Nothobranchius furzeri: one gene and its partner. The protein of the gene in region 1 purifies or fractionates together with the protein of each later gene. This does not show direct contact. Links are inferred from orthologs where the notes say so. Each region holds a gene or a part of one and is shown on either strand. Other genes may lie near its edges.

Evidence for each region. The genes of interacting proteins can lie anywhere in the genome.
Region 2: the proteins of zcchc10 (region 1) and neurl4 purify together in Homo sapiens (co-immunoprecipitation; 3 studies listed by BioGRID and IntAct, with this or other methods). This does not show direct contact. The link is inferred for Nothobranchius furzeri from reciprocal best matches to the Homo sapiens genes ZCCHC10 and NEURL4.

Annotation. Positions count from the first base shown.
Region 1 is NC_091750.1:56,825,719-56,831,502, reverse strand, and holds the start of zcchc10 (zinc finger CCHC domain-containing protein 10), read right to left. Parts: upstream 3,596-5,784; 5' UTR 3,511-3,595; coding exon 3,470-3,510; intron 2,763-3,469; coding exon 2,601-2,762; intron 2,042-2,600; coding exon 2,000-2,041; intron 1-1,999.
Region 2 is NC_091742.1:53,445,252-53,450,421, forward strand, and holds part of neurl4 (neuralized-like protein 4), read left to right. Parts: intron 1-82; coding exon 83-264; intron 265-340; coding exon 341-426; intron 427-503; coding exon 504-666; intron 667-742; coding exon 743-953; intron 954-1,719; coding exon 1,720-1,796; intron 1,797-1,917; coding exon 1,918-1,996; intron 1,997-2,079; coding exon 2,080-2,249; intron 2,250-2,321; coding exon 2,322-2,450; intron 2,451-2,527; coding exon 2,528-2,673; intron 2,674-2,778; coding exon 2,779-2,997; intron 2,998-3,065; coding exon 3,066-3,164; intron 3,165-3,309; coding exon 3,310-3,462; intron 3,463-3,536; coding exon 3,537-3,704; intron 3,705-3,775; coding exon 3,776-3,934; intron 3,935-4,011; coding exon 4,012-4,191; intron 4,192-4,703; coding exon 4,704-4,797; intron 4,798-4,866; coding exon 4,867-4,974; intron 4,975-5,055; coding exon 5,056-5,170. UniProt on the Homo sapiens protein: Promotes CCP110 ubiquitination and proteasome-dependent degradation. By counteracting accumulation of CP110, maintains normal centriolar homeostasis and preventing formation of ectopic microtubular organizing centers.

The DNA.
Region 1 (5,784 bases):
ATTCAGTATAATTACTTACAACTGTACCATGTTCAGCGCTTTGGGCTTCCTGACAGGGTTGCGGAAGGCGCTTTATAAATAAAGCTTTGATTGATTGATTGATTGATACATCTACTGGAATGTTAAACAGGCAGCTGTGGGTGTCATCTTGCACAAACATAGTGACAAAAAGATTTTCACATTCGTAAAATAACAAAAAATGTCTGAAATGTTGGTTCTTTGCAGCTGTCCTGTCTCTGAGATCATATGAGATGATTTTCTGCAAAAGTACATGTTTTCAAACAAATGTATTGGAGATTTAGCAGTAATACCCTTATTTATGTGTCTTCTTTAGCCAATAATAGCTTATTTGAAACACATGTAAACACCAGTTGATGCAACAACAAAAAAAAAGCATTTATTGCAAACACATTAAAATTGAATTTAAGTACTTTTTACTGAACAGTTTTTAACCCTTTAGGCCCAAGGCCTTTTTTCTTTGGGCCCTGGCACCTCCCAGTTGGGGGCCTTTGGAGTTCCATGTCCCAAGTCCCCGAGCACAACTACAGCTACTATCAAAACTGTTTAGATTGTAAACAAAGTAATTTTTGGATTTTGATACATTAAGATAAAATAATACTTGAACTGTATGTTAGAAGAGCTGCCCTGTGTGAAAGTGCTGACAGGATGGAGGTTGTGAGTTCAAATTCCATTTAGGAAATGTTGTCAATTGTTTTATTTATTCCAGGGTCCTCAACTAAATGTGTTCAAGGGTTTTTTCCCAGCAGACACCAGAGAAGGTCAGATGCTCTTCTAAAATAAAGTTCAAAGATCGTTGTATCTTAATTTATTACCATTTAAAATGGCCTTGTTTCCCATCTGGGCTGTTTGATTGTGGTTTTAGTTGTGTTTGGAGAACGTGGACAGTTGTAGATGTTTGGGACATGAAACTGTAGAGGCACCCAATTGGGGGGCGTTAGGGTTAAACAGGCTAAGATACATTTAAATCTTTTTATAATTACTTTTTTAATTGACTTTCCAATTAATCTGTAACAACAATTTAACTGATGGAAAATGTGAAGCTGTTCTACTATCACAGTACAAAAGAAACAAGAATCAAATGTAAATTCACTAAGAGTCTTGTCTAAAAACAGACAATAACCAAGAAAATGGTTTCACTTCTCATCAACTGCCACTAGATGGAACTGTTAAGTCACAATTCTGTTTAAAGTGGTACAAGTTGAGAAATATGAACATAAGAATTAAAATATCATCTTTATGAATAAAAAAATCTTTTACATCCAAAAATGAATGACTAGAAATGACCACACCACAGCTATGAAACTTCTTTAAAATATTTCAATATAGTAAATTATAGGGATGTAAGAAAATATCGATATGACAATATATTGTGATATTTTTTCCTGCAATATTGTATCGATCTTTAAAAGCCACATGGAATTTACATGCAAACATTTGTGTATTTTCTTTTCTTTTGGTGCAATTCAAACGCCGACCACTAGGTAGCAGCAGTGTGCAATGGGTTTTGTTTCCACCATTGAAATATAAATCCCTTTCTCTATTCCACCTTCCTCAGGATGCACTGATTTCCCTCTTTCCTATTCACTCTCTCTCTCTTTCTTAACATTTTTTTTAATCACAATTGTCTATTTTTTGCTCATTTTAAATATATTTTTAACCATTTTCTAAATTATTTTTTATATTTTTACATTTTTTGTTTTTGTGAAGCGCCTCGTGATTTTTATCTTGAGAGGCGCTATAGAAATGATATTTTCTTCTTCTTTATAAGATACCTTATATTGAACATGTTACATTTCAGTTTGGACTGGACTGAGTTTCCCTACAATAAATTCTGTCAAAAAAAAATGCTAATATCATCTGGCTGAATGTATCACAATATATTGTGATATATCGAATTTGTCTCCCCTGTATCTTGATACGTATCGTATTATCAGAGTTTCACCAATACACATCCCTAGTAAATTATCAGATTACTTACTTCTTTTTTGTTTTCTTTTCACTGGAAGCTTCTCCTCCAGGTCTGTGATGTGGAAAAATCACAACATTATATATAGTTCAGTCACTATTGATAAAATCATTTGTTTGTATTTTTATGTATTTTAGTTAAACAAATTCAACTTCTATTTGAGATCATTTGAAACACTGTCAAAATTTAAGAATTATTTATAAATCTAATTTCACTGTAAAAACTGAGTTCTCAGTTATAATTATCATTTTTTGTGGGTTTATTTATGCACAGTTAGGCTGGGCGATCTAGCCTAAAATCAATATCACGATATATTGAGGATTTCACCTTGGTATGCGCAGAAACAAAAGTTGTCCATAAATGGGGCTGTCACATGTATTACGTTGAATCAAATTTTTAAGTCACTCAAGGTTGCACAGCTTCTTAAAGGGACATGGATTTTGCCAACCTACACACATCTTTTCATTTTTTTATTATCAAATTTAATGACATGGGAACATTTATCGATAAGAGTCAGAAATTTCAATAACGATACATTTTCGATTTATTGCCCAACCCTACATGAAGTCCAGGTGTAAATGACTTGTCCTTCAAACTGTCAGAGATGACTCACCCTGTGATGCTGAGAGGTTTGTTTTCTATCTCCTTCAGCTTCTTTTTCATTTCGGTTGTTCTTGACGGTCGGTGCAAATATTTCCGTTTCCCAGTGCACTCGTAAGTCCAGTGTCCCATCTCCAAGCACTTCTGACAACGCACATTTTGTTTGTTTGCCTCCCTGTAAGCAATAAAAATAAATAAATACCTTCCAAACAGGAAAAAATACATAAACTACAGAAGTAAGACATTTGCACATACATGTATTTGTTGTCAGATTACTTAAAATTAATAATGAATGGAACAAATGATTCCAGTATAAATTATGAAAAAAATGATGGCTGCCGTAGTTTAACTCCACCAGCAGGTGTCACTATAAGCAATGAATGATGCATCGAAGACGTGAACCTCTGGGCAAAGAAAATAGTTGAGAAGCTACACGAAGCTTTATGTAGCCATCTCATAATTAATACACTAGTAATGAATACTTCATTTTAAACTCAGAAACTCGCAGGTGTTCCACCAAAGAAACTGAAACCCCACCAATAATCACAAATTATCAAAACTCTGCCCAAGTCCCGATTCTTCTCAATACTTTGATCCGACTATTGGTTATAACTATATTGACATTAACATCGATGTAAACAAAATTATTTTTTACTTAAACTGGGGTATTATAAAAATAAATAACAGCTTCAGAAGAGTACAGTTTCACACAACGTAGCGCTTCGTAGAGCCGCGGGATGCCCGTCCCTCCAAGTTCGTTCTTTACAGGCTGAATGTAAAACTGTAGGTCAGCTATAGACCGCACGTGGTAACGTAACAAATGTAGACACAAAATATACTAAAATAATATTGCTACGCTAAGTTTAAAAATGTTTTACTCACGCTTGTCTTCTCGCTATTATTCTATGCATGGGAGTCGCCATGTTTGAAGTCTCTTCTTCGTTGGTGTCAGCTCAGGGCCTATTTCCGGAAATGTAAAGGAGTGAAAAGAATACGTAACCACCCGTGTCGTCGCCATTTTGGATGGGTCTCTTCATTCTCCGAAGGCAATGCAGAGTACGCAACTATGCCCGTTTTTGTGCATCCCACGGTTACAACAACCCGCGTACAATTGTAAATAGATCATGTGGGATTACTATAGTGACTTTTCTAGCCTACCTGATAGGATTTTAGATTTGTATTTGTTTATTTATTTTGTTTAATTACACTGACAGACACACTGACAGAGGCAGACTCGCCTCTGGTAGTGTGCCGAATGGAGACTAAGATGGCAGCCGGCCACTTCGGCAGCTCCAATAGGCAGCGCCATCCCATGAGGTGTCTACGTATTTACTCTTTGTATGGGGTGACACTGGCACAGGAGTTAAGTGCTCGTCCCATAATCGGAAGGTTGCAGGTTCAAGCCCCACTCAGTCTGTCGCTGTTGTTGTGTCCATGGGCAAGATACTTAACCCCCCTTGCTTGCTGATGGTGGTCGGATGGACCAGTAGCGCCAGCGCTCGACAGCCTCGCCTCTGTCAGTGTACCCCAGGGCAGCTGTGGCTAGAATGTAGCTCATCGACCAGACCAGGGTGAGCATGACTGTGTTGTAAAGCACTGTTACGTCCCCGACAGGAGGTGTTAAAATGTGAAGGAAGGGGAACACAAGAAACATGATAGTGGGTTTAAAATGGGTTTAATTGTTATAAAAGGTTCTAAAAACAAGTGCAAACAGATGGTGAGCATTGTTTAAAAAATGCCAAACAAAAAAAAAACTCTCAAAAAGGTTAACACTAAAAGACCAATTACCAACATTAAAAACACCTGGTTAAAACTTATATTAAAAGTTTTACTGAACAGAAAGTGTTTCCAAAATCTTCAAGTTGATAGTAAAATCTGACACACTAGAAAAACACTGAGTGTTTTAAAATCCCAAAGTCAGTAAACTACAACGTTAACCTTAAAACCAAGTCAACCAAGTTGACATCAAACAAAGATCCCTTTGGATCACTCAGAGTTAAAACTATTAAAATTAAGACTCATCAAAATGAAGGGGTTGAAACCAAAATGAGGCATGAATAACAGCTTAGCCCCTGCACTGCTGCCTCCCAGACTGCTGAAGGCACGGCCTTTTTATCCCAGGTGTAGGTCACCAGATGATTTAGCTCAGCTGTGCTCCTCAGCAGCCTGGAAGAAAGGAGGAAGAGGGGCGGTGCCTGGCTGATCACCGAGGCTGGGTGATCCTGGCTCCTGCACCTGAAGAGGCCAGGCTGGTGGCCACAACAAGCTCCTTGGGAGGTTCCAGGACTCTAGAAGGTGCTATGTCAAATACAGGCCATTTACCATTTTACTTTGGTGCCTGTCACTATTTAACAGGCACTCAACCCGTTAGAGAATGCTCGACTTTCAATTTGTTTAAAGGCAAATGTTAAAAACTGGTTATGGACAAATCAAGTGTGTGATCATGTACGAGTTGTATAGTTTTGATGTTTTATTTGTGAATAGAATGGCGTAGGTTTGGTGATGGAGTTTTGATTATGAATGAATGATGAATTTTCATGAATCATTATGTCTTTTTATGTCTAAGGACAACAGATGGAAATTAGCCTTTGGCTATAATCTGGCATGTTTACATTCATGTAAGCTGCATTTACATTTATGTTCATTAACATGCACTGTCCTAAATAAATAAATAAAGAGCACTTTTCCTGGTATGTGTGGGGGGTGTCTGCTCTGTTTCCTCGATCCTCAGTGAGTCGTGGCGGATGGCAATTCCTACTGAGCCAGGATCCTCTGGAAGTTTTTCTTGTTAAAAGGGAGTTTTCCACTGTCGCTACTTGCTTAGTATGAGGATTGCTGTAAAGTCACTGACACCAGTCAGTGACTCCATGCAATTTGCTAGGTTCCTTATATAGGAAACTTTTTACTGATTGGCTTAATGAACTGAACCGCTTTAGAATGTTTACTTTGTGAAGTGCCTTGAGACGACTCTTCTTGTAATTTGATGCCATATAAATAAACTGAATTAAACACAATTTAATTGACTTCATCATTTAGGACTTGGTCCTGATGATGGATCTACAGATGTTCTTTGGTGACTCTTATTTACATGCGTGCAGACATGATGCTGGTGTGATGCTGGCACGATGCACACACAGCGTTATGTAACTGATCACATGAGTCAATGGTGTTTCATGTTGAGTCATAGATGGAGACAG
Region 2 (5,170 bases), on another chromosome or scaffold:
GAAAGGAGTAATAGATTACTGAAAAACAAGTTTTCCACGTTAAGCTCAAATGAACAATAATAAGGTGCTAATTTAACAACAGTGCAACAGATGACTTCAACCACGGTGTGGTTCTGAGCAACCGGCCGCTGCGCTCCAACGAGGTGTTCCAGGTTCGCATCGACAAGATGGTGGACAAGTGGGCGGGCTCAATTGAGATTGGTGTCACCACACACAACCCCGCCTACCTTCAGCTGCCGTCCACCATGACAAACCTGCGCTCAGGTGAGAGAACAGCAGAGAACTTTGTTGGTTTGTCGTCTTTCTGAGGAGGTCTGATGTGTGGGAGGATGCTTTCCAGGGACGTGGATGATGACAGGAAACGGAGTGATGCACAACGGAACGACCATCCTGGACGAGTATGGACACAACCTGGATCGGCTCAAAGTAAGCAGGTTTTTGTTCGTTCAGCTTTCTGTAACTCACCAGTTTTGTTTTAATTCTCTTTTTCCCTTTGCTCTCAGGCAGGCGACACCGTCGGCGTTGTTCGGAAAGAAGACGGCAGCCTTCACTTCTTTGTGAATGGCGTGGCCCAGGGCCCGGCAGCATGGAACGTCCCGCCCAGCGTCTATGCCGTGGTGGACCTTTACGGCCAGGCGGCCCAGGCCACCATCATGGATGACATGGGTGAGGACCAGAGGGGGTGATACCGTATGACGTCACGTCTGTGATCCCTCTGACTGTCTGTCCTCTCTTGTCTCAGTGGACCTCCCCCCTCTGCCAGAGGACAGCTCAGAAGGCCCCACTGCCATGTCCCCAGGGAGCCCCTGCTCAGTGGTGGGGGCCACCACAACCAGCGACCTGCGCTTCCACCAGCTGCACGGCACCAATGCCGTCATCACCAACGGGGGGCGCACTGCGCTGCGTCAGAACTGCCGCAGCGAGTTCAACGATGCCATCGTCATCTCCAACAGGTAGAACAATCGATAACAGAGCAGTGATCCTGTACAGTAGCAGATATTCAGCGATGTTTTACTTCCAGAATCGTTATTTTGATGTTGATCGTTACTTTTTTAGGTATTTTGTTAATCGTGGCTCCAAATTCAGAAAGCGGAATCGGTCCCGCATGTGCTTGAATCGGTTCATTTCTACCTTTTTACCAACATTTTAAACCAAATTTAACTGAGATTTTTATGCACAAGTTGGTTATTTCTCTGCACAAACCCTGGTCTGTTAGACGAGAAAAGAATGGAGCTGACATACCTGGCGCTGCAGTCTGCTCCCAGCACGTTTCCTGCATTCCTTCATGAACACAGCTGATTTGTTTAATTTGGTGATGAACCACTGCTGTAGACACTAAGCAAGGCTGGGGAGACATTTCAGCTGTTAGATTAAGGTGTTCACAAGACGAACGCGCCGCAAGGAGATACGTTTTTGTTTTGGTTCTACAAACGGACACTAGGGGGTGCTAAAACCAAGCCAAAACTGCCCGGTCTCCCTTTAAATGGAATTACTTCAGGAGACGTGACCTCTGTGATTTTTCTTGGTTTTCCTCCAAACCGTTCCGCCAGTGGTCCGTTTTGAAGCTCAGGTATTGATGTCTGTAAACTTTCTGTTTCGTTCCGAGACACAGAAGTTAAGAACGCTGTACAAACGTTGATCAAGTTATTTTTCTACGGGTGTATTGAACAACATAAACCACTCTAATCTCTCAGACTGTGGCTTGTGTTCATTTTTCAGGTTCCTTCGGGACGGCGAGCTCTTTGAAATAGTTATCCAGAAGATGGTGGACCGCTGGTCTGGTTCAATAGAAGCAGGTGGGATGTTTTTCTGTTTTGTTGCCAAACTTCCACAGGTCAGCCTTCCATCATCATCATCAGGAGCCTTTTAGACCTTACGTCGGCGGCGTTTTGTCTCACCTCCTTCCCGTGTGCACAGGAGTGACCGCAATCAGGCCGGAGGAGCTGGAGTTTCCTAACACCATGACCGACATCGACTACGACACGTGGATGTTAAGGTGGCGCCTCTAAATAAACGTCCACTGAGATTTTGCTCATCTTGTGTTTGAGTCTGATCTGATTCTCTCCCCCCCCCCCCCAGTGGCACCGCCATCATGCAGGACGGCAACACGATGCGCAACAACTATGGCTGCGACCTGGACTCCCTTACAACGGGATCTCGGATCGGAATGATGCGCTCGGCGAGTGGTGACCTCCACTATTACATCAATGGCGTGGATCAGGGCATCGCCTGCTCTGGTCTGCCGTCAGGTAACGACCGACGGACCCCGACTAGTGGGGGTGATCGGCTGGGCTGAACAACAGCGTTTGCTTTTCTTTCAGAGGTGTACGCTGTGATCGATCTGTACGGCCAGTGTGTCCAAGTGTCCATCACCAGCTCCTCGGGACCACTGGACAACAGCCTCTGCACCAGCAACGTCACCGAGAAGAGCTTCCCCATCCACTCCCCAGGTGCACACCCACCAGTGTCCATCCCAGTTATTCCTGGAACCATCTCTTGACGTTTTTTTCTCCTTCTCTGTTTGCAGCTGCAGGCGTGGCCCATCACTTCCACAGTAGGCATGGTAAGAACGTGGTGCTGCTCGGCGAGGGCTGCCAGGCCATCAGAGTGGGCGGTTATGCTCACGGCATCGCCTTCAGTGCAAAGGAGCTCAGAGGAGACGAGCTGTTTGAGGTTTGCTGAAAATAATTCTCTCCAATCTCCGGAGCGTTCATATATTCACGACTATGTCTCCCTTGTTCTTCGCTCCTGATTTTTGCGGGTCGCGTCTTCCTGCAGGTGAGGGTCGATGAAGTGGATGAGCAGTGGTGCGGTTCGCTGCACATCGGGCTGACTACGCTAGCACCTCCGGAGCTTCCGTCCTGTCCTGTCTCCGGTCTTTCCCCTTCCCTCCCACAGCTTCGGACCAAGGTCACCTGGCTGCTCAGTGGCTCCGAGGTCCGCCGCAACGGTGCTCTGCAGCGCCAGAATTACGGCTATTCGCTGGAGCGACTGACGGTGAGCGGTAATGAGAGCTTGTGGTCAGACAAAAACCTCAGAGCTGAATTCTGTTCACCTGTTTCCAGGTGGGAAACCGTGTGGGTGTGAAAAGGTGCAATGATGACACCATGCACATCTTCGTGGATGGAGAGGACATGGGACCTGCTGCTACTGCTGTGCCTAAGGTACTCTCTCAGACGCTGCCTTCTGCTCCTTTTAGCATCAGATTCACGAAGCACTGAGTAATGAATGATGTTTTTCCTGACACGCCTGACCTCTTTTCTTACAAGGACCTTCTTTTCCTTTTTACCACCTTCTGTCTCTTTTCAGAATGTTTACGCAGTTTTGGACCTGTACGGACGGATAACAGCGGTCTCCATCGTCAGCTCCTCTCTGATGGAGGACTCTGAGAGCGTCAAGGCGCCGTCTCTCACCTCGGACAGCTGCAGCGAAGGGGAGGAGGACAGCAGCCCGGTCAGAGAGGTGAGGCACCATGCCCACGGGGAGTAGTAGTTCCAGGGTTTGATTACGGAGGATAACTCTTCTTGTTTTTCCAGGCCGAGAGCGAGTCGTGTTCTTCAGTGCCGACAATTATGACATTCCTTGAAAACCACGGCAAAAACATCCAACTGTCCAACCAGAGTCTGACAGCAGCCAGAGTATCGAGCTACAACCAGGGCCTGCTGGTCACCGCCCAGCCGCTGGCTCGTCAGCAGCTCTTCCAGGTTTCCATTCTGCTCTCATCTTTATTTTAACTTTAACAACAAATCTTTTATGGTGTCTCTGCCGGCATCAGTTTCAGATAGACCGTCTGAACCCGTCATGGACGTCGTCCCTGTCGTTGGGGGTGATCGGCCACTCCCCAGACCGACTCAACTTTCCCTCCACGGCGTGTTGCCTTAAGCGCTCTGCCTGGCTGCTGCAGCGAGACTCTGTCTTCCACAACTCCCTAAAGGTGAACACATGAATCTGACCTACTGTCCTATCTCTGACAAAAACCTCACAGATGATCTTATCTCCCCCCCCCCCCAGATATGTGAGAACTTCGGTCCTAACCTGGACACTTGTCCCGAGGGAACAGTGTTGGGTCTGCTGGTGGACACCAACAGTTGTCTCCACCTCTACGTGAACAGCATGGACCAGGGCGTGGCCGCGCAGGACATCCCCTCACCCTGCTACCCCTTCATAGACCTCTACGGCCAGTGTGAACAGGTGAATTAACATTTCATCCAGTGTCAAAGTTTATAAATTCCAATTGTGGAGATAGGCTTCTGTTTGGAGAAATGCAGAGCTAAAGGGCCAACGGCTAGTCCTGAAACCTGCAGCTCTGGGGCCACATCTGGAAGATCTGATGAGCAGCAGCATGGGTTTGGGGGACCAGAACCTATTTTCCCAAAAAATATATGTAAAAGAAAATACTTTTGATATTCTGATGAAATAAAAAGTAAAAGCTACTCAACGTTTAGTTGTCTAAATGTAGAAAAGGCGTAAGCAGCGAGGCCTTCAGATTTAGCTCCAACAGGAAAGATTCCTGTCAACAGTGCCGCGACGAAGGATTTTACCGTTTCAACCGTTTTCCGGGCCTCACTCGGCCTAGTTGTTAGCTCATCAATCCTATCGGATTTAAACCCTATGTCTCTAAACAGAGGCTACAACAGGTGAGATGTGATTATTCAGAGTTTTTTAAGAAAACAGTTTGCTAACACGTCCTTTCCTGCTGACAGGTAACCATAGTAACCAGCACAGTGGCAGCTGTGGGGGCAGAGGGCGGTGAGACTCGTTGTCAGGCGGACATGGAGAAGGCGGACATGGTTGACGGTAAATAAAAACCAACTCCTCTGCGTTTATAGTGATTTAGATCTCAGATGACGTGAATTGGATGTGCAGGGATCAAAGAGAGCGTGTGTTGGACGCCTCCTCCAGAAGCTAACCCCAACAAGACCTGCGAGTACCAGGCTCTGTGCTCCCGCTTCAAGGACCTGCTTACCTTACCAGGTCGGTTCAAAACCTGCGTTTTTATCCTCCTTCCCGCCTAACAGGTGAAACTAATGATTCTACTACCGGCTATTTGTTAAGATGGGTACTTCAATGAGGACGCTAAATGCAACCTGTGCTACTGCGAGTCCTGCCACAAGCTCCGGGGAGACGAGGCGTATTACAAGAGGGGAGAGCCGCCGCGGGACTACGCTCT